Linked DNA regions of Mus musculus. The protein of the gene in region 5 purifies or fractionates together with the protein of the main gene of each other region. This does not show direct contact. Links are inferred from orthologs where the notes say so. Each region holds a gene or a part of one and is shown on either strand. Other genes may lie near its edges.

Region 1 (3,500 bases), on a different chromosome or scaffold from region 5:
TTTGGCTGCTACATAGTTCATGTTTTCCTTAAAGCCAACATCTTGGAATGTTTCTAACAAGGGCTAGGGTACAACTCAGGAATAGAACTGTTGCCTAGTGTGTTTGAGGCCCTACCCTCCATCTCTAGCACCAAAAAGAAAATAAATGTAGAGGCAGGGAGACTGTTCTAAATTAAAGAAAACTCAAAAGGATGCTGAACCAGATACCAATAGCAGGTTGAGAGCCTGTACAGGCATTGTGAGCCCAGATAAGGAGTGTTTAGGACCAGCTTGAAGGCACCATGGCTCTTTGCTTTCCTTACACCAAGAGTATATTTTAACTGTGATGAAAAGAACCTATGTAGGACATGTAGTGAACATGAATATGGGTAGAAAATATTCCTGTTTACATATAATAGTTGACTCTGTCATTAGCAAGGCAAAAGGAGAAAAATCAGCCCTTTTATACACAATCAGTCCCTATCAGGGCTCCCTAAAAGGCAGAAAGCACCACGGGTGCTGTGAGATCTCTTGGTACCAAGCCTCCCAGGCACTTACTTCTCTGAAGCAGCCTGTCGCTCCATTCGCAAGGCAGCCTCCACACTCTGAGATCTCTTGGTACCAACCCTCCCAGGCACTTACTTCTCCTCTGAAGCAGCCTGCCGCTCCATTCGCAAGGCAGCCTCCACGCTCTGGTTCTGCATACGCAGCTGGTCCACCTGGACGCTGTGCTGCTGCTGTAGCACCTCCCGCTCACTCTCCAGCTGTCTGACCTGCTCACTAACTGCTCGAATCCTGACATGCAACAAAAAAAGAACACCCTGAGAAGGCTGTGAGCTCATTAGCACTGGACTCAAGGATAGGCAGGAACTACTGTGCAACTCACAGTTTAGCTCTAGTCCCAGGCACCCTCACTAGAGGCTCAGGTTCCATACCTAGGTTGTACAGCCCCATGGGACAAGATATAGCATCAATAGTCTCAGCAGAGAATTCATCTCTGCCTCTATACCCTCACTGTAAAAGCTCATGGTGTCTTACCTCTATCACCCATATCTTCTGATCCTGGCCTACAGTACCCCACAGTTTCCCTTAAACTCTAGTTCCGGTGTTAGCCTCAACACCCTGGTACCTCCCTGTGTGCTCATTACAAAGACAATGATGGACATTTCCATGTGTCTTTGAGGAAGCCACTGACAGCAGATCATCCCAACTTTGACAAGGCAGATCTGGACTACTGGGCCTGCTCCCCTTTGGCTTTTTCTCACACTGCCCTCCCCCCACCAACCCACCACCAGTGCTCTCTGAGCCCAAGTCAAACTCTCCTCCCTCCCACAGGACAGGAGCCCCAACCCACTACTCCACAAACACAATAACTACCTATTGCACTGAGAAGGCCTGTTAGCTTCACTAACTATATGGAGGACAGCAGCAAGGCAGTATGAGAGGCACAACAGTACCCATGCCTGTAACTAAATGATCTCATGTGGCAACCTAACCCCCTTGGCAAAAGAGAGTGAGTGACAGTCCCAAGACCATTAGTTGACAAAGTCAGTCAAACTCACTTTTCTGCCAGAATTCAGAAATACTGGTACATGCCTGGCAGAGGATACCAACGTGAACAACTCCCAACAGAAACATGGAATCCATAGTCTTTAATGAGAAGTAGTTCATGAGGGCTCTGTGCTATTCACAGGGTTGCTGTGGAATGTATCCAGTCTTGTTCACCTAGGACTTTCTGCCTTGGTAGAATCCCACTGCATATCAGTCTGGATAGTGAGCTCTTGAGTGTGGTCTCAGGGGCCCTGCAGTGCTTCCTAAAGAATAAGCTAGATCCCAGTATGATGTTTTGAGTGAAAATGGCCCCCGTAGGATTCTAGAGAGTGGAATTATTTAAAAGGATTAGGATAAGTGGCCTTGTTAAGAGTAGGTGTGGCCTTGTTAAAAGAAGCGGATCACTGGGGATGGACTTTGAGGTTTCAGATGCTCAAGCTAGGCTCACTGGTTTACTCTCTCTTCCTGCTGCCTGCCAATCCCGATGAAGAACTTTCAGACACCTGTCCAGCATCATGTCTGTCTGCTTACCATCATGCTTGCTACCATGACAATAATGGACTAAACCTCTGAATGTAAGCCAGATAGAATGTTTTCCTTATAAAAGTTGTCATTGTCGTGCTATCTTTCCACAGCAACGGAAGCCCTAACTAAGCACCCAGTACAGACTCAGAGTCTTTCCAGCAACAGCTAGAACTAAATCCCTGAATACCAGACCAGGCTTCTCACAAGGAAGCCCTGAGGGCTCTGGGGAATCTAAAAAGACTCGGTCCTTCCTTTCAGAGAGAGGAATTCCTAGAACTCCTACATTTGTCTCATTAAAAACCCTGGAAGGGGCCTCCTGGGTTAGCTTCCCCTCCCCACTCACCTTCCCTCTAAAGCTTGCCGATCCTTGGTGGCAGCCTCCAAACGGCTCTGGCTCTCCTGGAGTTCTCCGAGCAATGATGTCACCTGAGCTTTCACAGAGGCCTTGTCCTCAGCCATCTGCTACAAGAAAAAAGGTCATTCCCTATCAGTACTGCTTTCTCCCAAGCTTCCCACTTTTGGCACTTCTAAGACCTAAGGCAGCCTTCAAGCAGCTGATATATGGAGGGCTTCTCCTGCCTCTCAAGACCTATAAACCTTGGTACTTTGAAGCCTCATTAGCCCAATGGCTATTTGCCTTCCTCCAGTCACCAACCTTGACTCTCAAGTGGTAGTGAACCTTTCTCAGTCTCTTTTGAGACTCTGTAAAAGGAGGCTAGACTCAAAGACAGCAACAAAAATTAACACCTAGTCCACATTATACAACAGGTGAGAAGTTTCAGAATAAGAGAGGAGACTGGAATTTTTTAAATACTGAGAGCTGAACCATCAAGAAGGCTCATCAGATAAAAGGTACTCACCACCAAGGCTGATGACCAGAGTTTGAGTTTCAAAACCCATATGATGGAAGAAAAGAAACCAACTATCACAAGCTGTCCTGAGTACAAACCATGCTCAGCTCAGACAAACTTTAAGGTTAACCAAACTTTAGCATGCCTTCTTTTTAAAGATTTATTTATTTTATGTATATGCAGCTCTCCTCAAACATACCAGAAGAGGGCATCGGATCCCATTACAGATGGTTGTGAGCCACCATGTCGTTGCTGGGAATTGAACTCAGGACCTCTAGAAGAACAGTCAGTGCTCTGAACCTCTGAGTCATCTCTCTAGCTCTAGCATGCCTTCTAACAGCTTAAGATCACATTTGTGTAATGTACCAAGCCCCTTCCTAGTTCCTACTTGCAAATGCTCAGAGCTGTTAAAGAAACTGACACTTGACATAGGCCTAACCTTTGCCATGATTCCTTTCTCTATCACCTCAAAGCCCATGTATTTCCTTTGACCCTAACCCTGTCTCAAAAACCTGAGTGCTACTTCTCTTAAATGGAATTATCAGAAAGAACCCAGACTCCCGGTCTTCAAGTACAAAAACCTACATTTGATTT
Region 2 (3,500 bases), on a different chromosome or scaffold from region 5:
TGATGCCTAAACTATAGGAAGAACATGAGTTCCTATCCCCTTTCCTTCTCAATGAACCTAGTGAAGTTCCTAGGTCAATTGCTTTCAATAGTCCATTGTGCCTTGTACTCACACTTTTAAAATTATACTAATATACTTAATCAGTATGGAAGTTCCTTAGAACTTTCCAACAAGCTATATAAATAAATTAGGGGCCCTTAACAAAGTTGCCATACTCATGGGCAATCACACCTATCTGACGAAGAAACTGATTCTCTACATAAAAATTATTTTAGAAAGAACAAGTTAATTTAATGAAGTATTTCATGGAGGCGAAAAACTAAAATCACTGACAAACTGCAAACATCCATAAAATAATATCAAGGGATTCTAATAAGTGACATCTGATACTATGACGTTATATTGAAAATACAAATAAAATATCTTAAGTGTAAAACATGACTGACCACTCCCAGGTGTCACTAAGGTAAGAGAAATTACTACAAGCACACACTGATGTCATGACGTCATACTTACCAAGATTTCTTTATTTTACTAACAAGCAAACTCAGTGAGGAGATGACAAGTCCAAGCCACAGGCTGAGAGCTTGACTTCAAAGCTACACTTAGGTTTTCTCCACACATCCCAATTCACACACCCTTTTATTCTCTATATTTGAAGGGCTCCTCTCTTTCTGTCTCTGACAGTGAACATGTTTCCCTCTGATGAGGACCTGGTTGTAGCCAGAGGCCATTCTCACACTGATCTGTCAAGAGTGTCTCTCAGATTCTCACACTGATCTGTCAAGAGTCTCTCGGTTATTTTGTCAGAACAGAGACTGCATCTGGTGGTTATAACATAGAATATTTCTCCCATAAATATAATTGACTTGAAGAACACCAAAATTGCCAGGTGTGGTGGCTCACACCTTTAATCCCAGCACTTGGGAGGCAGAGGCAGGCAGATTTCTGAGTTCAGGGACAGCCTGGTCTACAAAGTGAGTTCCAGGACAGCCAGGGCGATACAGAGAAACCCTGTCTCGAAAAACATAAAAACAAACAAACAAAAAAAGAACACCAAAATTCATTGGGTTAGCTTTCTTAACCCAGTGAGTTGAACAACTGAACTAATTAATTCCAACTTCAGAAATATACTCCTTTTAACCTGGTAAATGTATTTCTAAACATTTACATATACATTTAGATATGGTTTTAAAAAGTTTTCCGACACACAGACAGCTAAGAATTTAGAGCACTTACTGCAAGTTCCGCCACTGAACATTGGAATAGTTTCAAACATCATCTTGTGAAACAGCAGTGCCACGGGTCTGTAATCCAGGTGATTTTTTAGCAGGTAGCTATAATAATATACATAGCGCCTCTGACTGGGAATTGTGACTCCCTGATAGGCCCAGGGGGCAGAGGGAGGAGGGAGACAAAAGAAAAAGAGAAGTCAAATTCAAAAGGAAAGTTTCATTAAAGTTATTATACAAAATTGCTATAACTGGGTTATCCCAAAGTTTCTCCTTTAAGTGGCTAACAATCAAATCTAACTCAGTATTAGAATAAATAAGAGCAATAACAAAAGAATATTCTTAAAATGTAGTTATTAAATACCTCATTTATTCAAATATTAAATAATGCTCTGATCTATGAACCCAATAAGCAAAGGCCACTGTGTATTCAAACAGACAGTCAATGGTCTCTGTACTGCAGCTACACATACCCAAGTCTCCTCTCAAAGATGGGTTTACTAGGCAAGTCTTCACAAACCTGTTTACATACTTTCTAAGCAAAATCATATCAGAATCAGTACACTAGAGAAACGTGTTGCCTCTGTGCAGGAAAAATGAGATTCTGACCTTAGAGTCCAAAAAAAAAAGGAAAAGAGAGAGTATGCAGCTGAATGATAAACATATTCAATACAACTTGTTAACAGAGGCAGTAAGGGGTATCGGTATCCTTGTGCTATATCCACTCCTTGCAGACATTAGGGAAGCATAAAATGGCTTAGAAAATATTACAAATATTTAAAAGACATAATTCATATGACATTTAAAAGGGGACCCTAACCAGGAATGGTGTCCCACACCTGTAATCCTACCACTAAAGGGGATGAAGCAGAGGACTGTTCCGAACCAGCCCAGGGTTTATATAGTTCCAGGCCAGCCGGAAACCAGTCAATCAATCAATCAATCGCATGTATGACCCAAAACCCATGCATATGTTTTTTTCTTAGTTCTTGAAATATTTTGTGAGTGTTTTGCCATATGTATACCTGGTGCCCACAGAAACCAGAAGGCATGCCATGAAACTGGAGTTACAGATGTTTGTAAGCCATTGTGTGGGTACTGGGAGTTAACCTGGGTCCTCTGCAAGAACAACAGTGCTTTAAACCAGCTATCACTTCAGCCAACCTAGCCCATGCCTATATACATTTTTTAAGGTACCACGTAACCATATATATGCCTAAAACTTCGGCATGGGGGAGCAGAGACAGGCAGATTCTTGGGATTCACAGGCTGGCCTAGCCTACTTGGTGAATTCCAGACCAATTAGAGACCCTGTCTGAACAAGATAGATGGCACCAGAGGATGGACATCCAAGGAACATACAGACACATACATATATACATATAGACACACACACACAAAGACATACATACCATATGTGTAACAATTCATTCACTAATGAGTTAATATTTTTCTATTCACAATATAACAGTAAAAAAGTCAATATAAGGCAAATAATAAGCATTTAATCTAACAGTTTAAAGTAAACAGCAGTTTTGGCATGGCAGTACCCTCTTGTAATCTCGGTACTTGGGTACAACCAAAATCGTAAGTTTAAGGCCAGCTTGACCTATGTGAGGCCCAGTCTCAACAAACAGAATTGCAGAAAATAGGTATTTTATGTTAATAAGAAAAAGGTATTACAATGCTCTTTAGTTTACTGATGGCCTCTCAACTTCTACTGTGATAAGGACTCTAGACACAGACACCCTTCTGCTGGGGAAGAAGACAGCATACAAGCTAAGAAGTATAGAAGGAATACGATGTCTAGCAAATACAGGTATATGAACTCTGACCCCACCCTCTTCCCCTCTCTCTGTCTTTCTCTGTTTCTCTGCTCCATATGTGTATCAAAATGGATAAGTGGCAGTATACAACTTTAATTCCAGAATTCAGGAGGAAGAAAGAAGCTGGTGGATCTCTGTGCATTCCAAGCCAACAGGGCTACAAAGAGAGACCCCGTCTCAAAAACAAAAACAAACAAACAAAAATGGATATAAACCACTTGAAATCATGATTGGCAATTTAAGACTTTGGCTAGAGTGAAAAATCACATACTAAATAGTCAAAGCTTATATTTGAATTCTGAGAAAATATAAACTTCCAATTTGCTTCTTTAAAAAAATTAATACAATAATACAAACCTCCTTAATAGAATTTACATGAGGATAAACCAGCAAATTCAGTTATATAAAAGAAGTTAAAATAAACAAAAAAATATAGTAGCTG
Region 3 (4,277 bases), on a different chromosome or scaffold from region 5:
AAAGAACCCCTAAGAGGGAGTCAGGGGCCAAAGCTCAGGAGGCACAGTCCTGCTCAACACCCCGAGGCTCTGGTGTGCAAGCCATGTTGACACCCAGCCCAGAGCCATAGCAAAGGCAGGGCAGGGAGAACCCCTCATTGCCAAGGGCATGACCAGCTTCTCCCTTGGGGGGCTGTGAAGAAAGGGTTTGCCCCATTTGTCTACGAGCCTTTGTTGGTCTGTTTTCATCTGACTGTCTCTGGCCTTCTCTAGGCCATGCTAGGACCCTGAGCTGGCTTAGGGGAGGAGCAGGGTCTTGTGTTACACGGGCAACACTCACGTCTTACACTTGGGACATTCCTCTACAAACATGTTTCCGTGCAGCTCTGCCAGCTTGTCCCTGCAGAAGAAGATGCCAGTAAGGACCCTTCCCAGATCCTGGGGCTTGGACCAGCTGCTCAGTCTGCCTCCTCCTCCAGAAAGCCTTCCTAGGGGGCTCACTCACAAGGGGCGTCCACTTCTCTTTCCTGGAGGATGTCCCAGCCTGTCCCATTCTGAGGAACTGTTGCATGCATAGCTGTCTGACGGTGTCTTCACAAACTCACAAATACCTCCTCCCCACTACAAAAAACCTGTTGGCTAGCCGCGGCACACCCCTTTAATCCCTCCATTGGGAGGCAGAGGCAAGTGGATCTCTGTGAGCCTGATCTACAGGGCAAGTCCCAGGGTAGCCAAGACATGGAGAAATTCTGTCATGTACTCGCCCTCTGCCGCAACAGTCAGTTGGCCCTAAAGCCCCTGCCAACCTCCCCACCCCACCCCAGTGAGGGGTGGAACCCTGCCTACATCCCCCCAATTTGACCAAGTACTGCCCGGCTTTGGGCTCCGAGCCTTCCCCCTCTTTGCATCCCTAATAAATGCCCCTGAGCTAGGGCACCCTGGTCCAATAAGGAGGAAGAGATGCAATTGAGCCCCAGCCCCCCGGCCGACTCATCGGACCTGGGGAAGCCCGAGCGCACGTGCAGCCCGTCTACGTTCTGGCTGACCAGGAAGCTGAGGAAGCCCATGCGTTCTAGCTGAACCAGGGCCATGTGGGTCTTCGAGGGCCGAGCATTCTCGAAGGTGGTGTCAAACTTGGGGGCCAGGCCGCGTTCCTCCATGGTCCACACGCCATGGGGGCCTCTGAGGATAGCAAGCAGAGGAGGACAGGCACAGAGGTCAAACATTCATTTTCCAGGCTGTGGGCTCTTCCTGTTAATGCTGAAGTCAGCCCATGCTGGCCCCAGCCCCGTTCTTAGGGTGGTTCTGTATCCTGTGGTGGAGACAATGACTGCCGGGTAGGCAAGAATTCTAAAGAGCATGGGACGTCTTCATGAAAGAGGCGGAGGGGCTGAGGGTCTGGGGGTAAACAAAGGCAGGGGAGCTAGTGGAGCTGGGGCTGAGTACTGGTTAAGACCGGCTGCGGGTTCCCAGAATGCTTTACAGTGGTCATAGGCTGCCACCGAAGGTTATGGGTGAGCTAGTCACTCCACAACATTGAGTCATTCTGACCCTAGAAAACCCAGTGGCTGGCCGAGCTGCATGAATACATTTCCCAGCATGCCTTGCAGCTACTACATTATGTGGGCATGCTCTGATCCTTGGGCAAGTGGAGTTTTTGCTGGGCCTTTCAGAGACATAGGAAAACTGAAAGGTCCTTCTGCCACCTCACCTTAGTCCCTAGAGGTGTATCAGCAAGAGCCCTGCCTCAGTTTCCCCTCATTGTTCACCGACCTGAAGTCGGGGATGCCAGAGGCGGTGCTGATGCCGGCGCCCGTGTGGAAAACCACGCTGGAGGACTGCCACATTAGCCGGGCCAGCTCCCACACCTTGCGTTCCAGCTCCTCTGGTGGGTCGAAGATCTGTAGGGTCAGAGGGCAGGAGGAGGCAACACGTGACCTCCCAAGTGGCAGGCCTCCTGTGGGTCAATGCTCTGTCTGCCCCTTCTCAACATCCCTCAGTTCCAGCCACACTCTTAACACATCGCTGTGTCCTACCCCAGGGCCTTTGCACATGCCGAGCCCTCTTCCCAGAGTGCTGTTCCTGCAGGCAGCCACTCCTTTGTCCTGGTCTGGTTGTGGCCCACGTGACCTCCCCACTGACGTCATCCCCCATCCTGGACTTTAGATAACCCACCTCTCTCCCCTAAATCAAGATGCAGCTCTACTTGTCTAGGGGCTCCGTTAACATGAGGCAGGCAGGGCATGGTGTCGCAGGCCTTTAACACCAGTACTCGGGAGGCAGAGGCAGGAAGATTCCTGTGAGTTCGGGGCCAGCCTGGGCTACAAAGAGAGAACCCTCCACCCTACTACACCCCTTCAGAAACAACAAAGACTGACAGCCCCACACTCAGGATCCATCTGGCCCAGATTCAGGGAGGAGTACAGAGTGGGGTACAGGGATGCCCCCAGGAAAGGGTGCCAGCTTCCGGCCCTGCAGATCTTCCCACAGCTCCAGGTTTTCCCTGACAATTAAGACGTCCACTCCCTGACCTGACGATTTGGTCTCGTTCCCATTAGCCCCTCACTCCTTCCCTGACCCAGGTTCCTCCGTGTCACCCAGCCTGAGCAGTGGGTGTCACTTCCCGCCCCCTCCTTCCAGGGAAGTCCCTCCCATTGTCTAGACTCTATGTTTCATGCTGTTCCCACAATGCCCCGCTTCGCCCGGCCGCTCCCCGTCTGGGGTCATTCGGTGACTCGAACACTGCAGCTCTCACCTCGGGCAGCCCGCACTTGCCCTTATCCGCGTAAGGCGACAACCCTGCTGCATAATTCACCGACATCGTCGCCGGCGCTGCCGCACGGGAACAATAAAGTTTCCCTTGTTGAGGCCGCTTCCGCCGGAAGTGGTGAAGGGACGGTCGGGAAAGAGTAGCCGCCTTCCCTAGATACGTGCCTGAGGGTGGGGTGGGTACGTGGAGGTGAAAAACAGCATTCTTTCCAGAGCGCATGCGCCCTCCTGATGCAGCAAGCTTAGTCTTCAGTGCTGGCCGAGACTACCTCTCTGACTTAGTGGATTCCCCAGTCCTGGGATCCGCGACCAGAGCCAGAAAAGTGATGAGGCCACTCACAGGAGTCGAGGCAGGGGGATTGCGAGTCCCAGACCAACTCCCTGTTTCAAAAGAGACAACATCAGCAAAACCCAGAAATGAAACCAAACAAAGCAAAACAAAAATCCACAGTTCTCAGTGTGTAGAGCCCTGCCCGGAGTGCTTATAGCACTGGCAGGAGGGGACAGAAAGTTCGAAGCCACGCTAGGCTACATGATACCCTAACCTTTGTGACTGTCATCCAGGGTCTGCCTGACTCTGGCTACAGGAGAGAATGAATGGAAAACTGGGGTTCTTGGGCAGAGGAAAGACCTCTGGGCCCCCTGCCAACATTTCCTGGGTTAGTTTCTGGAGTGCACCTCCCGGAATATCACAGAGCATAGGGTTAGGTCCACAGAACTGGGCGAGTTCCACGTGTTACCCAGAGGTGCCCAGAGATGCAAGGAGAGAGGTGAAGAGCCCTGCTTCCGTGGCCATCTAGAGATGGGAGGCACTATCTGACCATTCTGCCTGTTGGTAATCAACAGACACAGGAGCCATGTGATGGGTCAATGGCAGCATATAACAACCGAAGCCTCCTGATCCCCGTGGAGACCCCAAGAAAGGCTTCGAGGAGGCAGGAGCACACAAGGAGGTGGGAGAGGCCGTCCTTGGGGCTGCCCATCTGAGCAAGCTGGCTAACAGCAGCTTGTCTCCTCCCTTGGCTCATCCGTCCCCCGCTCCCCCACCCCAACCTGATCGGGTGTCACCTCTACTCTGCTGCTGGTGGCTCGCAGCTGGAGCGGGTAACCAGAGAGGCTGCTTGGACGCTGGGTTCCGGTCTGGAGTCGCCTGAGGTAGGGGGATGTGGGTGAGGGAGGCCAGGGAAGTCTGGGTGCTGGTGAGGGGTGCTACCTGCAACAGTATGAACACACGCATCTGCACACTTGTGACAGGTGCACACATCCCACGCGGGAGCCAAGGCCCAGGCCCAGTGCGCAGCGTCACCTGTGCTGTGTCACCTCTTCAGAAGGCAAACCCTTAAATCCACAGGCCTTCCCTGCCACCTTGCCGTGGCGATTTCCTTCAGACTGGTAGCATGTGGACAACTCTTTTGGGTGTTTTGTCACCCACCCTTGGTGGTAGGTGTGGGGTGAAAGTGAACCTGATTAGTAGAGGAGGTGGGATCAGTGAATGGATGGATGGATGGGTAGATGGGTGGGTGGATGGG
Region 4 (3,500 bases), on a different chromosome or scaffold from region 5:
GACCGTGGGGACCGACTTGATCGTGCCAGAACACCTGCCACCAAGCGAAGTTTTAGCAAAGAAGTGGAGGAGCGAAGTAGAGAGCGGCCATCCCAGCCTGAGGGACTCCGCAAGGCAGCTAGCCTCACAGAGGATCGTGGTCGGGATCCTGGTGAGAAGGAAGGGAAGGCTTGTAGAGGAATGGGGGGAAAGGCTATTGGGTGATATGGGACTGAGTACTCCCCAACTTTCTTGAGAAACTCTGGATTCTTTTAAGCCGAGTCACTGAAAAGCTCTTCCCCTGTAGTGAAGCGGGAAGCCACTCTACCTCCAGTGAGCCCTCCAAAGGCTGCGCTGTCTGTGGATGAGGTGGAGAAGAAATCTAAGGCCATCATTGAGGAATATCTCCATCTCAATGACATGAAGGTTGGCACTGGGGAGGGACTAGTGATTGCTTGTAAGGGTTGGGGAAGGGGAGGCATGCTGACTGGCATGGTCTATATTGGCTGGGGACCCGGCAATGATGGTTTTCTTCTTCATATGTACTGCCTCAGGAGGCAGTACAGTGTGTCCAGGAGCTGGCTTCACCCTCCTTGCTCTTCATCTTCGTACGGCTTGGTATCGAGTCCACGCTGGAGCGTAGTACCATTGCTCGTGAGCATATGGGGCGACTACTGCACCAACTGCTCTGTGCGGGGCACCTCTCTACTGCCCAGTACTATCAAGGGTAGGATTCGTGTTAGTCCGTATCCGCATAGCTCACCAATTCCTTCTCCTTTGTGGGATTCCTGAAATCTCAGATTTTAGCTGGAGGTTGTCTCATGTCTGGAAAATGTTTCGGGGGGTGGGGGGGGGCTCCACATTTGATTTTTAGTTGTGTATTTCCCTAGAAGCAGGGTGTCTAACCCATCTCTAAATGCCCTGACCCCTTATTCCCTTTTCAGGCTGTATGAAACACTAGAATTGGCTGAGGACATGGAAATTGATATCCCTCATGTATGGCTTTACCTGGCAGAACTGATTACACCTATTCTCCAGGAAGATGGGGTGCCCATGGGAGAGCTCTTCAGGTAGGCCCTCCCTCCCTTTGTGGGTGTGAGAGACAGAATGGAGGAAGTGAGACAAGTTACAGACTTGGGTTTGGAGGCCATCGGGATTGATGATCTTTCTTACAGGGAAATTACGAAGCCTCTGAGACCCATGGGCAAAGCTACTTCTTTATTGCTGGAGATCCTGGGTCTCTTATGCAAGAGCATGGTGAGTTGAACCTTTCAAAGGTTGATATATTCAGAGACTTTTTTATGGCTTTGGCTGCCTTGGGTGACCATGGAGCCTCTTGGTCCTTTGTTGGCCTGGAGTATTTGTAATGCTAGGACTACTTTTGATACTTGAAAGAGGAAAAGTGTTAAATAGGTAGTTTGTGTCGTGAGTTCTTCCTGGGCTGAAGGAAGATTGGCAAAGAAAGACCCTAGACCCGTGGCTAATTCATTTGACTGGTGTTTCTTTGAACAGTTCACTATAGACCGAGATCCTAGGATTATAGCAGTTAAACAGTGTGAACTCCAGCTTGGTACAGAGCAGAGGAAGAGATGGGAGCCTCAGTGATTAGAGTGAAATGGGAGACAGTATCACAGTATCTCAGGACCGGCCATGGAGTGTTTGCAATGGAAGACCACCTTTGATGAGCACTACAACTATTTTATGAAAGCTAATTGGTGTCTGGAATGTAGGGCCTTGAAAACGTCAAGTTGAGAGTGGTGCCCGTGGTTGTAAGAAGTTGGGTATGTAGTGTGAAGTTTGAATGTCTAGAACTCTGAGGGGTAAGACAAGATTGAAAGGGACGTTTTGTGAAGATGAAGGTGTAGGTATGAAGATGAAAACCTTATTGTGTAAGGTTTTCTGAATGTAGGAAACCAATAGGCATTTTGTTTGGTTTCTTGTTTTTTTGTTTTTTTTTTCGAGACAGAGTTTCTCTGTAGCCCTGGCTGTCCTGGAACTCACTCTGTAGACCAGGCTGGCCTCAAACTCAGAAATCCATCTGCCTCTGCCTCCCGAGTGCTGGGATTAAAGGCGTGGCTACCACGCCCGGCAGATCCAGTGATTTCTTAAGAGTTCTACAAACTCTAAGTGATACTTTTCCTAGATGCGCTCCCCCATCCTAATGTCATACCACTGAGGTGGTAGTGAGTTCCTATTCCTTGTGATGTTTATTTAATCTAGGCATAGAAGGGTGGTGCCTATGTAGTATGATTATTGAACTATTGAGTCCTAAGAGTCAAGGGCCATGTGTAGAAGTAGCTATTGAGATGCTGAATTGGTCTTTTGTTTTTCAGGGTCCCAAAAAGGTGGGGATGCTGTGGCGAGAGGCTGGGCTGAGCTGGAGGGAATTTCTAGCAGAGGGCCAAGACGTTGGCTCATTTGTGGCTGAAAAGGTTTGACACTGGAGTTCACTTATTCTGCATTTGGGGCTAGCTAGTCTCATCTTTCCCTCATCTTTTACACTAGTTTTGGTCATTTGTTTATAGAAGGTGGAATATACCTTGGGAGAAGAATCTGAAGCTCCTGGCCAGAGGACACTTGCCTTTGAGGAGCTTCGTAGGCAGCTAGAGAAGCTGCTGAAGGACGGCGGCAGTAATCAGCGTGTGTTCGACTGGATAGACGTATGTTTTTCGTGGATATGGGGGAAGGAAAGAGGTAGTTTTTGAGGTGGATGGTTTGGGAGTAACAAGAGTGAATACTTAGAGTCTATTTGTTTTTCTGTACAGGCCAACCTAAATGAGCAGCAGATAGCATCCAATACATTAGTTCGAGCCCTCATGACAACTGTCTGTTATTCTGCAATTATCTGTAAGCCAGGGGAGTGGTGGGACAAGGGTGAGCCAGGCAATCTAATGGGGGGAAAGGAGTTTTGGTCTTGGCCTTCTAGGGCCAGCCAAGCCAGGTGAAGTCTTCATTACTCTGTTTTGTTCCCCCCCCCCCCCTGTAGTTGAGACTCCTCTCCGAGTGGATGTTCAAGTGTTGAAAGTGCGAGCAAGACTGCTGCAGAAATACCTGTGTGATGAGCAGAAGGAGCTACAAGCACTCTATGCTCTCCAGGCCCTTGTAGTGACCTTAGAACAGCCTGCCAGTAAGCCAGGCTGCAGGGGTGAGGGTGGGACAGAGGGGCTGCCAGATAGAAGCTGGTCATGGAAGGTACTCAAGCCAAGAGAGGCGGGGGAAAGAGCAAAATGCCATGGTGATTTGATTGTTACTTACCCTACCCTCTGCTTGTTTCCTTGCCTACAAATGGAGTGAGTTAATCTAAGCCTGGAGGGTTGATTGCCTGCCCGCTTTGTGCTTGACCAGTAGATGACAGCAATGCAGAGGTGATAAACAGTAGCATCTTTCAGATACCATGTGCCCATCTGTCTGATACAAGGCTGAAGTGCTTGCCTGCCTTTTTGGTTTTTTCTAAGACAGGGTTTCTCTGTGTAGCCCTGGCTGTCCTGGAACTCACTCACTCTGTAGACCAGGCTGGCCTC
Region 5 (3,500 bases):
GTCCGCACAGATTCTATGATAAGAGCTGGCTAAACAGACTCATGAGGGCCAGGGAGAAGCTCGGCGGGTGAAGCCACGTTCTCCGGGCCTGACAATGAGAATGTAACTCCTGCGGTGACGTGGTGAAGAGAACGGACTCCTGATTTGTCCTCTGACCTGCACCTTACCTCAGAAACCTCTCTAGCGCGTGCGCGCACACACAATTACAATTGCACATGGGTGGGTGGGCGGGCAGGTGGACAGATGGATGGACACACACACTCAGAAAGGACCAAAATAACAAAAAACCCCACAAAGAAAAAAGACCCCAAAACCAAAACAGGTGACCAAGCAGTGGTGGCCCACACCTCTAATTCCAGCACTTGGGAGGCAGAGGCTGGCAGATCTGTGAGTTCAAGGCCAGCCAGGACTACAGAGTTCCAGGACAGCCAGGGCTACACAGAGAAATCCTGTCTTGCAAATCCACACATATAAGAAGATCTAGTTATGCTCTACACTGAAAGTCACAGTAGGCAACTGAAGCAGCCAGCCTCACTGGACACTCTCAGACACCAAGCTCTGGAAATGCCACGCAGGCAGGGCACTGAGACGGGCTAGAGCACAAAGACTAAGCGTTCCAGGCCAGCCAGAGCTTCAGAGAAAGACCTTGTCTCAAAATCCAGAGACGTTCACATTTCACAGTTGTCTTTGGACAACTGGAAAAATCTGAAGAGACTCTGTGGCTTGAGAGAAGAAGCTATGCTCGAAGAGGAGGCCTTCAGCAGGGGCAATTATCGCCAACCTCCCATCCCTAAGGCAAACGAGCAGAGCAGTCTGGAGTGAGCTTGCACCCACGGGGGTCTTCCCACTCGCTTCTGTCTTTCTGTATCTCAGAGGTCATTTGAATGTGAAATTCTCACGGAACTCCACACTTAGCTCTCGGCTGGTGGCACTGCTTAGGCAGCAGAGGCTGGCTGGAGGAGAGGACATTACTGGCTGGGGCTTACAGCCTGGCTCTATGCTCTGTCCACTCTCTGCTCGCTGTGTGTGGGTAAGCGTGGTCATCTAGCTTGCCAGTGTGCCCTCCGCTGTGATGGACTCTACCCCCCCGGAAGCCTAAGCCCGAGCAAAGCCTTTGCAACGGAACAGGAACTATAGAATCTCCCTCTAGAGTAAAAGTTGAAACATGTGCGTGAGCTGGGTACATTTCAGTTATCCAAGCCCAACTTTCTCACTGCTCTACTAGGAAATGAACAACAGCTGGCTTTTGATGTATGCTAAGCACTGCTGATGGACAGGAGACTTCTAACTGTGCATGCCTGCACATGTACATGCATGCCCATGTGTATGTATCGATAGCACAGACACGTGACCTTCCTTGAAGCCACTATCAGGCAAACAGTCTCACCCAGAAGAACCTACTTTCGTGCGTGGGTGAGAGTAGCTTCTTCAGGCTCAGCATCTCTTCATGGAGTCCATTGAGGATGAAACCTAGATACTCCTCTGCGTCCTCCTGCCGGCCCTGAGGACAGACATGGGCACATTAATTCCAACCAGCTGGAGTAAGGCCTATAGAAGCCCCAGCACCTAGAGCAAACTACACCTTAGATGAATGCTCTAGACCAGTGAACCCAAATCCCCAGAGTTGCCATGAGAACTCTGTAGCCTATTTCTATAGCTAACCTCCTAGGCACAGATACTGGTACACACAAGCTGGTCTTAGACAATAGCGCCACTCAGCGCTGTGAAAACGTCCACAGTTCTAGAAGGTCCCTGGGTGCCTTCCACCTCCACTCCACTGCATCTGCACACTGTCGTTACACTTCTGGTTGTGCTTCTAATCCCCACTCTTGGGAGGCATTCCTAGCACCCCAAATCCCAAGTAGTGGGAAGTGAAACTCCAAAACAAGAAAAGCTGTATCACAGGCATTTAAAAAAAAAGCTAGTGGGATGGTGGTGGCGGCTCAGGATTTTAAATCCTAACACTGGGGAGATAGAGGCATGGCAGATCTCTGAGCCTGGTCTACAGAGTGCACAGGACAGGGGTACACAGAGAAGCCCTATCTTAGAAGGGAGGAAGGGGGGGGGATGGAGGGAGGGAGGGAGGGAGGGAGGGAGGGAAAAGAAGCGGGTGAGGAGAAAGGAAAAGCTAAAGTTGTGCAGCTGGTGTCTTTGTGTACCTGGATGCTCACTCTATTTTTTTTTAATTTTTTATTAGGTATTTTCCTCATTTACATTTCCAATGCTATCCCAAAAGTCCCCCATACCCACTCACCCCCACTCCCCTACCCACCCACTCCCCCTTTTTGGCCCTGGCATTCCCCTGTACTGGGGCATATAAAGTTTGCAAGTCCATGCTCACTCTATTTAAAGCAATACAGCTTCCAGACTATTCATTTAAATGGCATTCTCTTACTATTTTTCCACTCTGAGTAAGCTTCCTGTCTATACCTGCATTGCACTGCTCATGCCAATGCATTAGACTTGGCACTGGAAGACCAGCTGGATGCTCTAGACAATGACCACTGGAAGGCCGCCTGGCTCGCTCGCCTGCCCGCCTGCCCGCCTGCCTGCCCACCCGCTCACCTGCCCTTAGTTACCTGCTAGCAGGATTTTAGGAAAAGCCAGGCTACAATGGCTGAGTTGATGGACTCACTGCTGTAGCCTGAGCAGGACTAAGATGGAGGCGGAGCACTCCAGGACGAGGAGGAACCCCCCCCCCCCCACTCAAGCACATTGCAGCAACAAGGGTCAGACTCAGAAGCCAGGCTCTGCCCATCAGCGGTGGATTCACAGGCTGGCAGAGCCAGTGAGACTCCGTCCTTGGGTCTCAATGCTATTAAATGTGGGTAACTGGCACGTGTTAAGTCATTGAGTGTCTCCACCATAAACCTCACCCAGTTCTCACCCCACCAAGTCACAGCTCGAGGCATGCGCCAACAGCCACTTCAGGGTCATCTACAACTTGCTCTGTAGCAGGCTAGGCTTAGCTTCCCAGAGATCCTCTTGCCTTGGCCCCTATGCTCTAGGACGTAGGCATGGTCCCCTCCCCCAGTTCTTGGGAGCAGTTTCCATAGCAACCACAGAGCACCCCAGACCTTTTCAGACAGGCTCGACTTGATGACTGTCAGGAGTCTGTATATGTATGTGGGTTCAAAGGCAGCCCCTGGGCGGATATCTCTCACGATTTTATCCCCGAGAGCTGCAAGAAAAAAACAGAAGATTCTGGTAAGTAAAGAGACCACAGAGAGGTGAAAGCAAATCCACCCAAACTCCCATCACACGGGGAAAACACCTTGGTTTAAATAGACACTTTTTTCAGTAAGACCACACATTCACCACACGCCACCCCCTCGCTCCGTGTCCCCAGTGACAAGGCGCCTATCCCGGCGCGAGCTCTGACTCACCTTGGCGGGGTTTGGGAGGCACTGGCATGTTAGTGAACTCATTCATGAGCCGAACACTAGATGGAGAAAGAGCAAAGCAGAACTCACGTTAGGAGCAGGCCTGGGCACGGTGGC
Region 6 (3,943 bases), on a different chromosome or scaffold from region 5:
GCCTCCCGTCCCTCCCAGCCTGCTAGTCCACAGGCGGTGCCCTTTGGTTGGATTCTAGTGATGGAATTCGGGGCTGAGGAATGGCGCCTGGGTGTGCTGAGCCTCTGGATAGAGGAAATCTCAGCAGGGATCCTGCGGGATCCACCCACTCAGCAGGTATTCACTGAACAGAGCCGCTTTCAGCCCCCCTAGGGGGCACAAACCCACACAAGTCTTCAGCTACACAGGTGGGGCTCCAAAGCCCTGGGTGGTGGTGGACCTTGGCAATCTGTGGGTCCCTACAAGTAAGGGGTGTTGCCCCCTCCCTAGAATGGCCTAACCACTACCTGTCCGTTTAGCAGGGACAGGCGAACTGAAGTACTTAACAAAAGGGAGGTTTCAAGATAACACAGGGTGGGATGGAGCTGGGAGTCTCTGGGCTTGCACAGGAAGTGTAGACACCCCCCCCCCCACACACACACACACTCTCTCTCTCTTCACAGATCCCCGACCCCCAGACGCCTTCATAGTGTTCCTGGCAAGTGTGAAATCGGCACCAGGCCGGCTGGGACAAAGGCCACTAAGGGGGACACTGTACATGTGATACCCCCTGGATTAAAGGGGCCTGCCGTGCAATGAGCCAGCAGCTGCGGCCAAGAACAGGTGCTGGGCACCGCTGCCCCGTGCACCTGCTCTAACCCTGCAGGCCCCCACCCCCTGGGCTACCATTAAGACACACAATGGAACTCCTAGAGAACTGGGTGGTGCATTTCAAGGAGGGTTTTGTCTGAGCCATGCCTTTACATCAAAACAAAGTCCCTGGGGGGTGGGGGGTGGTCGGAGGCAGCCTAGGACCCTGAGGGCTTCAGCTCTTCCCCAAAGTAGAGCCCCACAGCTTAGCAACCCAGCCGGAGAGAGGCAGCCTGTTACACTTTTATAGGTTAAATCTGAGGCAATCCGTGCCTGGGGGGGGGAAACGGGTAATCTTATTCAAGTAATAAAGGTGTCAGTGAGACCTGCAAATACCTCCCTGCCACCCCCAGGCCTCACTGCCCCAATGCTGGCCACCACAAGAGACGCACAGCTCTACCCCAAAGCCTGACACACTTTCCAAAGAGCAGCCCAACCGGAACCCCCACCAAGCCTGGCTGAAGCCTTCCCTCACTTCTAGAAGCTTCCCACGTGGCCCAAGGCTGAGAGGACAGCAAAGTCATGTCTTTGTTTCTCTTCTTAAAAAAAAAAAAAAAAAAAAAAAAAAAAGATGTGTCTATTCTATTCTTGTCCTACATGGATTGGTATGTTGCCTGCATGTATGTCTGTATGAGGGTGTCAGGTCCTCTGGAACTGGACTCTTAACAGGCAGTTAGTTAAGTTGTGAACTACCATGTGTGCTGGGAATTGAACTCAGGACCTCTGGAAGAGTAGCCAGTGCTCTAACCACTGAGCCGTCTTCATAGTCACTGGGAAGTCATTTCTTAGTGGCACCTGCACCTAGCACTTCACTCTACAAAGACCCCACGAAGTGTTCTCTGATACATTTTAGAAACGAGGAAACTGGGGAAGTTCTCGACTCAGGATTCAAGGCCAGGTGCAGAATATCCTGTCTAGCAATATCCTGTCTGACTTCTACAGTGTGGGTTGAGCCCGGATAGGGAACACCTCTTCACTCCTAGCCTCGAACAGCAAGGTACAGAATGGAGAACAACCAACATCTACTTTGTCCACTGCTTGGCAGCCTTAGGAGTAAGTGTTGAGTCCCCCCAGGGTCTAAGGCCAAACAGCCCAGACTCAGAGCTCAGCTATGCACACTCACTCACCAGTGTGGGTGCGGACGTGGCCCTGAAGCAGCCAGGGCCTAGAGAAGGCCTTTCCACAGGTCGTGCAGACACAAGGCAGCGTGTGGCTTCGGATGTGCATCTTCAGAGCGCCCAGGCTGAGGTACTCCTTGTTACAATATTTGCAGTTGAAGATCTTCCGCGACTGGGGGTCCTTGGCCACCGAGAGCCTGGCCAGCTGCTTGGGAAGTTGGCCCAAGCCAGGGAAGGCGATGAAGGCCTCGGCCTCCAGGGAGGAGGCCGAGGTGGACGAGAAGGACGACGGCGCCGGCGAGGGCGGGCTGGGCGGCTGGGAGCTTTTGCCACTGTCCTCATCGGACAGCGAGGTCAGCTCTACGGCCTTGGGGCTCTCCCGCAGCGGGAGGGTGGCCCAGGCAACCGGCCGCACTTGGGGTACCAGGAGAGAGTCCCAGATGAGGGTGGGCAGCGAAGCGGCGGGGTTGAGGACCTCGGGCGGAGGGATGGCGGCCAGCAGGTGGGCCTGGTCGTAGGGCTGCTGGAAGGTGAACTCTGCGGGAAGAGAAGAGACAGCAGGGAGTCAGCTGAGCGGATTCTCGGGGCGCCAGGTGGGGGGGCTTCCCGCCCGCCCCTCCCCTCCCCCGCCCGGACTCCGCAAAGCTACCCCCGCCTTCGAGTCTTCAACTCCCGGAGCCTCCCCGTCCCGGGTCAAAGACACCCTCGGTGGATCCCAACTGCCAAGACCCGGAGCTCCAGATCCACCTGTCGCGCCCGCAGAGCCCGATTCTCACCTCCCCCCAGCACCCTTGGGATCCCCCCCAGCCGCCCGCGTCCCGCACCCCACCACGCACCCACACACGCGTCCTGCAGCTCGCTATAGTTGGGCTTCCGGCGGGGGTCGGACGGCTTCCTGACCAGGAAGGAGCGCGGCATGTTGGCCAGAGCGACCTAGGTAGTCGGGGTCACCGGGTCGCGCAAGGTCGGTAGTCAACTCCGCTCGCGAGGCCCGGCCGCACACTACGATCCCCTAGCAGCAGCAAATTCCTTTAAGTACCAGGGCTGGGGGCGTGACCGTACTGTTGGTCACGCCCCTTTGTCAAGGCTGAGCCAATGGCTGGCGGCGGCGCGGCCGGAGACTGAGACCGGAGCAGGTGCGCCTGGGCTGCTGGGGCTCCCGCCGCGTGGCGCTGAGATTCCGCTTGGGCTCCTCCCGGACCGGACCGCGCGGCTTCCGAGCTCCTCGGGCGACCCCTGGTGGCCGCGCCTGCCCCACGACGAGCGCGGTGCCCCGCAACATCCCCGAGCTGCTGACCTTTGGGCGCTGGGGAGCCAGAAAGTGCGATGATATGCACGCGCTTAGGGGTTCCTGGAACTGTCTACACAGCCCTGAACAAAACACTACCCAGGGATGCCCTACGCAAGGATGGCTTCCCGGCCGTGGGAGAGAGAGACAGACAGAATAAACAGAGGATTCGAATACTAAAGGGAGGTGTGATTTGATGAAAGGAGGTGGGGAGAGACAGCTGTGACTGTCAATGAACGGTCACCTGACAGGGGAGGGTGTCTATGACTTCCTAGAGGAAGTGAAGAAGCACCGAGGGGAAAGGCCCGGGGTAAGAATCAGTAACTTCTGCCTGTCCAACCTTTGAGAGCAGGTTCCAGGATGAGGTTGGTGTTGGGCAGACCCTGAGGGGTCCGATTTCCTGGCCTCGGGTCTTTGGAGGAGTTTGGACTTTGCCTTACAGGCACTGGGGAGTCACGGAAGGACTTTCAGCTGAGGACGGACGTGTTTAGAGTTGCATTGTGAAACACCAATAAGGGCAGGTGCGAGGCAGAGGTAGCAAGGACCAGGGCTAAGGCTCCCGACTTCCTGAAAATCGTGTTGGAACGTTCACAGGGAGGAAGGGTGGCCTCGGAAACCAAACCCACACCCCCATAGTATGGGGTTATAAACACCTATAAAGCAGAGGGTCTACGGAAACCTCTGGGGCACCAGCTAGCATCGAGTCTCTAGGCACTGGAGGTAACAACAGGGAATAGAATCAGACTCCCAGCACTGGGGGTGGGGGGTGGGGGAGTGGGAGGATGGTCAGACAACAGGCAACCATCGTGGAGAACACTGCCCTCTGGGTAGATTTAGTTCATCCATGAGTCTCCCTGAGTCCAGAGGG
Region 7 (3,500 bases), on a different chromosome or scaffold from region 5:
CTTCTCATGACACCATCTCAAGAAAACCAAACCAAACTAGACCGCACAGAGAGCAGAACAGAGTTACAAGTGTAACGTCACGTGTAGTTGTATAAGTATTCAAATAGCTGGCATTCATGTAGTAGCTTCATGTTTTATGAGGAAGGAAACTAAAGAAGTGGTCCTTTAAAAAAACAGACCAGCTGAATGTATTGCATGCCTATAGCCTGAGTATCGCACATGGATGCCAAGACAGGGCTATATAGGCCTGGTATCAAGGAAAATCGAGGTGAGGTGAGGGGCAAGAGGGTTATAAAAAGGGAGAAGGAAGGAGAGAGACTCATTTATGTTCAGTCTTGATCTAGATCTGCTAGAGATTGAAGTGTAAGACTGCTGAACTCTGAACTACTATCTAGCACTAAAGGACGGATGTATTTTCATTAGTTACTTTTTAAATAGCGTGAAAACAAAATTTAATTTGTGTTTTATTTCCTTGTTTTGTTCAAGGTTCAAGTTCCTCCTCCTCCTCCTCTCCTTCCTCTCCCTCCTCCTCTCCTTCCTCTCCCTCCTCCTCTCCTTCCTCTCCCTCCTCCTCCTCTTCCTCCTCTGTGATAGAGACAGTTCATTAACAAAGAGAAGGCACGCCTAAATTTGGAAGTGGGGTAGTGGTCTGGGAAAAGATATTTGCTTAAAGTTGTAAAATTTAATTTAAAAGACAGACTTTATTTTAAACCATATATGTATGTGTGTTTGTGTGAGGGTATGTGTACATTAGTGTAGGTGCTGACAGAGGTCAGAGCCCCCCAACCCCACCCCCCCAATCCTCACCCTTCAGCTATTGCTACGGGCAGTTGTAAGCTGCCTTGTGTGTGTGTGTGTGTGGGGGGGGTGAGAACTAAACCAGGGACCTCTATAAAAACAGCGCAGGTTCTCAATGGCTGAGACATCCCTCCAGCTCAGAGAATTTATTATTTTTTTCCATTTTTTAAAATTAGGTATTTACTTCATTTACATTTCAAATGATATCCCGAAAGTCTCCAATACCCTCCCCCAACCTGCTCCCCTACCCACCCACTCCCCCTTTTTGGCCCTGGTGTTCCCCTGTACTGGGGCATATAAAGTTTGCAAGACCAATGGGCCTCTCTTCCCAATGATGGCCGACTAGGCCATCTTCTGATACATATGCAGCTAGAAACACGAGCTCCGGGGTACTGGTTAGTTCATAATGTTGTTCCACCTATAGGGTTGCACACCCCTTCAGCTCCTTGGGTACTTTCACTGGCTCCTCTATTGGGGGCCCTGTGATCCATCCCATAGCTGACTGTGAGCATCCACTTCTGTGTTTGCTAGGCACCCGCATAGCCTCACAAGAGACAGCTATATCAGGGTCCTTTCAGCAAAATCTTGCTGGCGTAGAGAATTTATTTTTAAGATCAACGCTTTGGCTAGGCTTGGTGGTGCACCTTACCCAGGAGGTTAGACAGCAGTTTGTCTCCAGCTCAGGCTCCTTAGTGAGACAGGGCCAGCTTGGGAATAAATAAAATGCTCTTGCAAAAACAAGCAAGCAAAGAAAGAAATAAAAAACAAGTAAAAGTCAAAGCAAACAAAAACACATTGCTTCCTCATTGCTGCTGAAACACTAATGAGGTAGGGGAGGCCTGTTGCTCGCCAGTGCCCACAATCCCGTCCACCTCAACCATTTCCTTGTTTAAATGCTTCAAATGGTGATGGACCTAATTTAAAAAAAAATCCCTGTGCTTTCTATGTTCATGTGCTTATTTTTTTTTGACTGCTCAAAGAAAAGGTAATGAAGTGAATTAAAAAGATTCATTTGTGTTTTCTATCTTAATTCCTTTGATTTGAGAAAAATTCAAAATCTAGATGCTACAGGGAATATAACTAAAGAAAAAAGGCATGCGTCATGTTCAAGCATGCATAAAATGGGCTCTTGGGGAAATGTACAGTTTGGATGTCTTTCCTTGAGGTCTGTGTGAATAGGAGCACTCATTTTGAGAACAGTGTTTACTGCTGTCTATAGGAAGGAAGCACTCTCGTCACTCTGAGGGTTCGTTTTCCCCCTGAAGGCAGCCTCGGATGATTCAGCTGGTTTGCAGCTAGTTAGAATCCGTGTCTCCAGTGCTTCCTTCACGTAGACGCACTCACGCACGAAGAGGGCGAGTGTTCTGTGAGCTCCACTGCCCTTGGCTTGCTTCTGCAGCTCCAGCTTCCTGAACTGTGATGTGAGGGTTTTAGGAGAAATGGGTTCAGAGTCTGTCACTACAGACTTGAATCATGGGCCCAGCGAGTTGGCTCAGCTGGTAAAACATTTGCTGCCAAGTGCCTAGAGTCTGACCCCTGAATCCTGGGTAAAGGTAGGAGAGAACTGATTCCACAGAGCTGTCATCTCAGCTCCACACCCACTGTGGCATGTGCACACCATACACACGCACATGCATGTGCACACACACACACACACACACACACACACACACACTAAAAGTTACTTAAAGGTGAGGGTGGGGGAACAAAAAAGGTACTTAAAAAAAACTATCCCTGTGGCTCAAATCAACATTGATCATGATGGCTCAAGGGTTGACCTTATTGGTAGGAAGTTTGAGGGTCATAGTAAGGTAGTACAATTTGACCCATGGATCACAAGTTACAAAATAGCTTATTTTTAAACAGGTAATACTGATAAGACTAGTATCTTTATGTGTGATGTGCAACAACCACTATAGATACCATATTCTGACCACTGATTTCTTTAAAAATTATTTTCTTATATTTTTCATAAAGTATTTGTATTTGAAGAGTGTTGACCGATGCTTTTTGATATTGTGATTAATACAGTTAGCATTCTCTATGCAGATTGTACGCAGGCCCCGAGGTGGACATCTGGAGCAGCGGGGTCATTCTCTATGCTTTGCTGTGTGGAACCCTCCCTTTTGATGATGACCATGTGCCAACTCTTTTTAAGAAGATATGTGATGGGATCTTTTATACCCCTCAGTACTTAAACCCTTCAGTAATCAGCCTTTTGAAACATATGCTGCAGGTGGATCCCATGAAGAGGGCCGCAATAAAAGATATCAGGTAACTCACTTTATCTGCCTACTTGACCAACCAGCCAACAAACCATCTGTCTGTCTGTCTGTCTGTCTGTCTGGACTGTGTAGTCTTGGCTATCCTGGAACTCACTCTAAAGACAAGGCTGGCCCTGCCTCCCTCTGCCACCCGAGTGCAGTGCTAGGATTAAAGGCGCGTGGTATTACCATTGCACAGCAATATTAGGTGATTTTTAAACCAATGTATTTTTCTACCTTTTCGAGTCTCTAGATACCAGAGAAATTTCATTTTATTTTTTATTTTTATTTTTATTTTTTTTTTTTGGTTTTTTCGAGACAGGGTTTCTCTATATAGCCCTGGCTGTCCTGGAGCTCACTTTGTAGACCAGGCTGGCCTCGAACTCAGAAACCCGCCTGCCTCTGCCTCCCGAGTGCTGGGATTAAAGGCATGCACCA

The links.
Region 1: the proteins of Usp10 (region 5) and Ikbkg purify together in Homo sapiens (affinity purification with western blotting; 3 studies listed by BioGRID and IntAct, with this or other methods). This does not show direct contact. The link is inferred for Mus musculus from reciprocal best matches to the Homo sapiens genes USP10 and IKBKG.
Region 2: the proteins of Usp10 (region 5) and Pten purify together in Homo sapiens (affinity purification with western blotting; 4 studies listed by BioGRID, with this or other methods). This does not show direct contact. The link is inferred for Mus musculus from reciprocal best matches to the Homo sapiens genes USP10 and PTEN.
Region 3: the proteins of Usp10 (region 5) and Sirt6 purify together in Homo sapiens (affinity purification with western blotting; 4 studies listed by BioGRID, with this or other methods). This does not show direct contact. The link is inferred for Mus musculus from reciprocal best matches to the Homo sapiens genes USP10 and SIRT6.
Region 4: the proteins of Usp10 (region 5) and Eif4g1 purify together in Homo sapiens (affinity purification with mass spectrometry; 4 studies listed by BioGRID, with this or other methods). This does not show direct contact. The link is inferred for Mus musculus from reciprocal best matches to the Homo sapiens genes USP10 and EIF4G1.
Region 6: the proteins of Usp10 (region 5) and Snai1 purify together in Homo sapiens (affinity purification with western blotting; 4 studies listed by BioGRID, with this or other methods). This does not show direct contact. The link is inferred for Mus musculus from reciprocal best matches to the Homo sapiens genes USP10 and SNAI1.
Region 7: the proteins of Usp10 (region 5) and Prkaa1 purify together in Homo sapiens (affinity purification with western blotting; 3 studies listed by BioGRID). This does not show direct contact. The link is inferred for Mus musculus from reciprocal best matches to the Homo sapiens genes USP10 and PRKAA1.

Annotation. Positions count from the first base shown.
Region 1 is NC_000086.7:74,436,181-74,439,680, reverse strand, and holds part of Ikbkg (NF-kappa-B essential modulator), read right to left. Parts: intron 2,518-3,500; coding exon 2,399-2,517; intron 775-2,398; coding exon 622-774; intron 1-621. UniProt on the Homo sapiens protein: Regulatory subunit of the IKK core complex which phosphorylates inhibitors of NF-kappa-B thus leading to the dissociation of the inhibitor/NF-kappa-B complex and ultimately the degradation of the inhibitor.
Region 2 is NC_000085.6:32,809,577-32,813,076, reverse strand, and holds part of Pten (phosphatidylinositol 3,4,5-trisphosphate 3-phosphatase and dual-specificity protein phosphatase PTEN), read right to left. Parts: intron 1,382-3,500; coding exon 1,240-1,381; intron 1-1,239. UniProt on the Homo sapiens protein: Dual-specificity protein phosphatase, dephosphorylating tyrosine-, serine- and threonine-phosphorylated proteins.
Region 3 is NC_000076.6:81,624,738-81,629,014, forward strand, and holds the start of Sirt6 (NAD-dependent protein deacetylase sirtuin-6), read right to left. Parts: upstream 2,801-4,277; coding exon 2,735-2,800; intron 2,586-2,734; exon of another isoform or gene 2,155-2,585; intron 1,881-2,154; coding exon 1,753-1,880; exon of another isoform or gene 1,691-1,752; intron 1,162-1,690; coding exon 979-1,161; intron 380-978; coding exon 320-379; intron 1-319. UniProt on the Homo sapiens protein: NAD-dependent protein deacetylase, deacylase and mono-ADP-ribosyltransferase that plays an essential role in DNA damage repair, telomere maintenance, metabolic homeostasis, inflammation, tumorigenesis and aging.
Region 4 is NC_000082.6:20,686,227-20,689,726, forward strand, and holds part of Eif4g1 (eukaryotic translation initiation factor 4 gamma 1), read left to right. Parts: coding exon 1-151; intron 152-286; coding exon 287-405; intron 406-533; coding exon 534-706; intron 707-923; coding exon 924-1,049; intron 1,050-1,154; coding exon 1,155-1,236; intron 1,237-2,312; coding exon 2,313-2,411; intron 2,412-2,504; coding exon 2,505-2,639; intron 2,640-2,744; coding exon 2,745-2,826; intron 2,827-2,965; coding exon 2,966-3,106; intron 3,107-3,500.
Region 5 is NC_000074.6:119,948,360-119,951,859, reverse strand, and holds part of Usp10 (ubiquitin carboxyl-terminal hydrolase 10), read right to left. Parts: intron 3,443-3,500; coding exon 3,387-3,442; intron 3,182-3,386; coding exon 3,078-3,181; intron 1,502-3,077; coding exon 1,402-1,501; intron 1-1,401. UniProt on the Homo sapiens protein: Hydrolase that can remove conjugated ubiquitin from target proteins such as p53/TP53, RPS2/us5, RPS3/us3, RPS10/eS10, BECN1, SNX3 and CFTR.
Region 6 is NC_000068.7:167,537,052-167,540,994, reverse strand, and holds the start of Snai1 (zinc finger protein SNAI1), read right to left. Parts: upstream 2,801-3,943; 5' UTR 2,706-2,800; coding exon 2,624-2,705; intron 2,325-2,623; coding exon 1,797-2,324; intron 1-1,796. UniProt on the Homo sapiens protein: Involved in induction of the epithelial to mesenchymal transition (EMT), formation and maintenance of embryonic mesoderm, growth arrest, survival and cell migration.
Region 7 is NC_000081.6:5,171,361-5,174,860, forward strand, and holds part of Prkaa1 (5'-AMP-activated protein kinase catalytic subunit alpha-1), read left to right. Parts: intron 1-2,847; coding exon 2,848-3,072; intron 3,073-3,500. UniProt on the Homo sapiens protein: Catalytic subunit of AMP-activated protein kinase (AMPK), an energy sensor protein kinase that plays a key role in regulating cellular energy metabolism.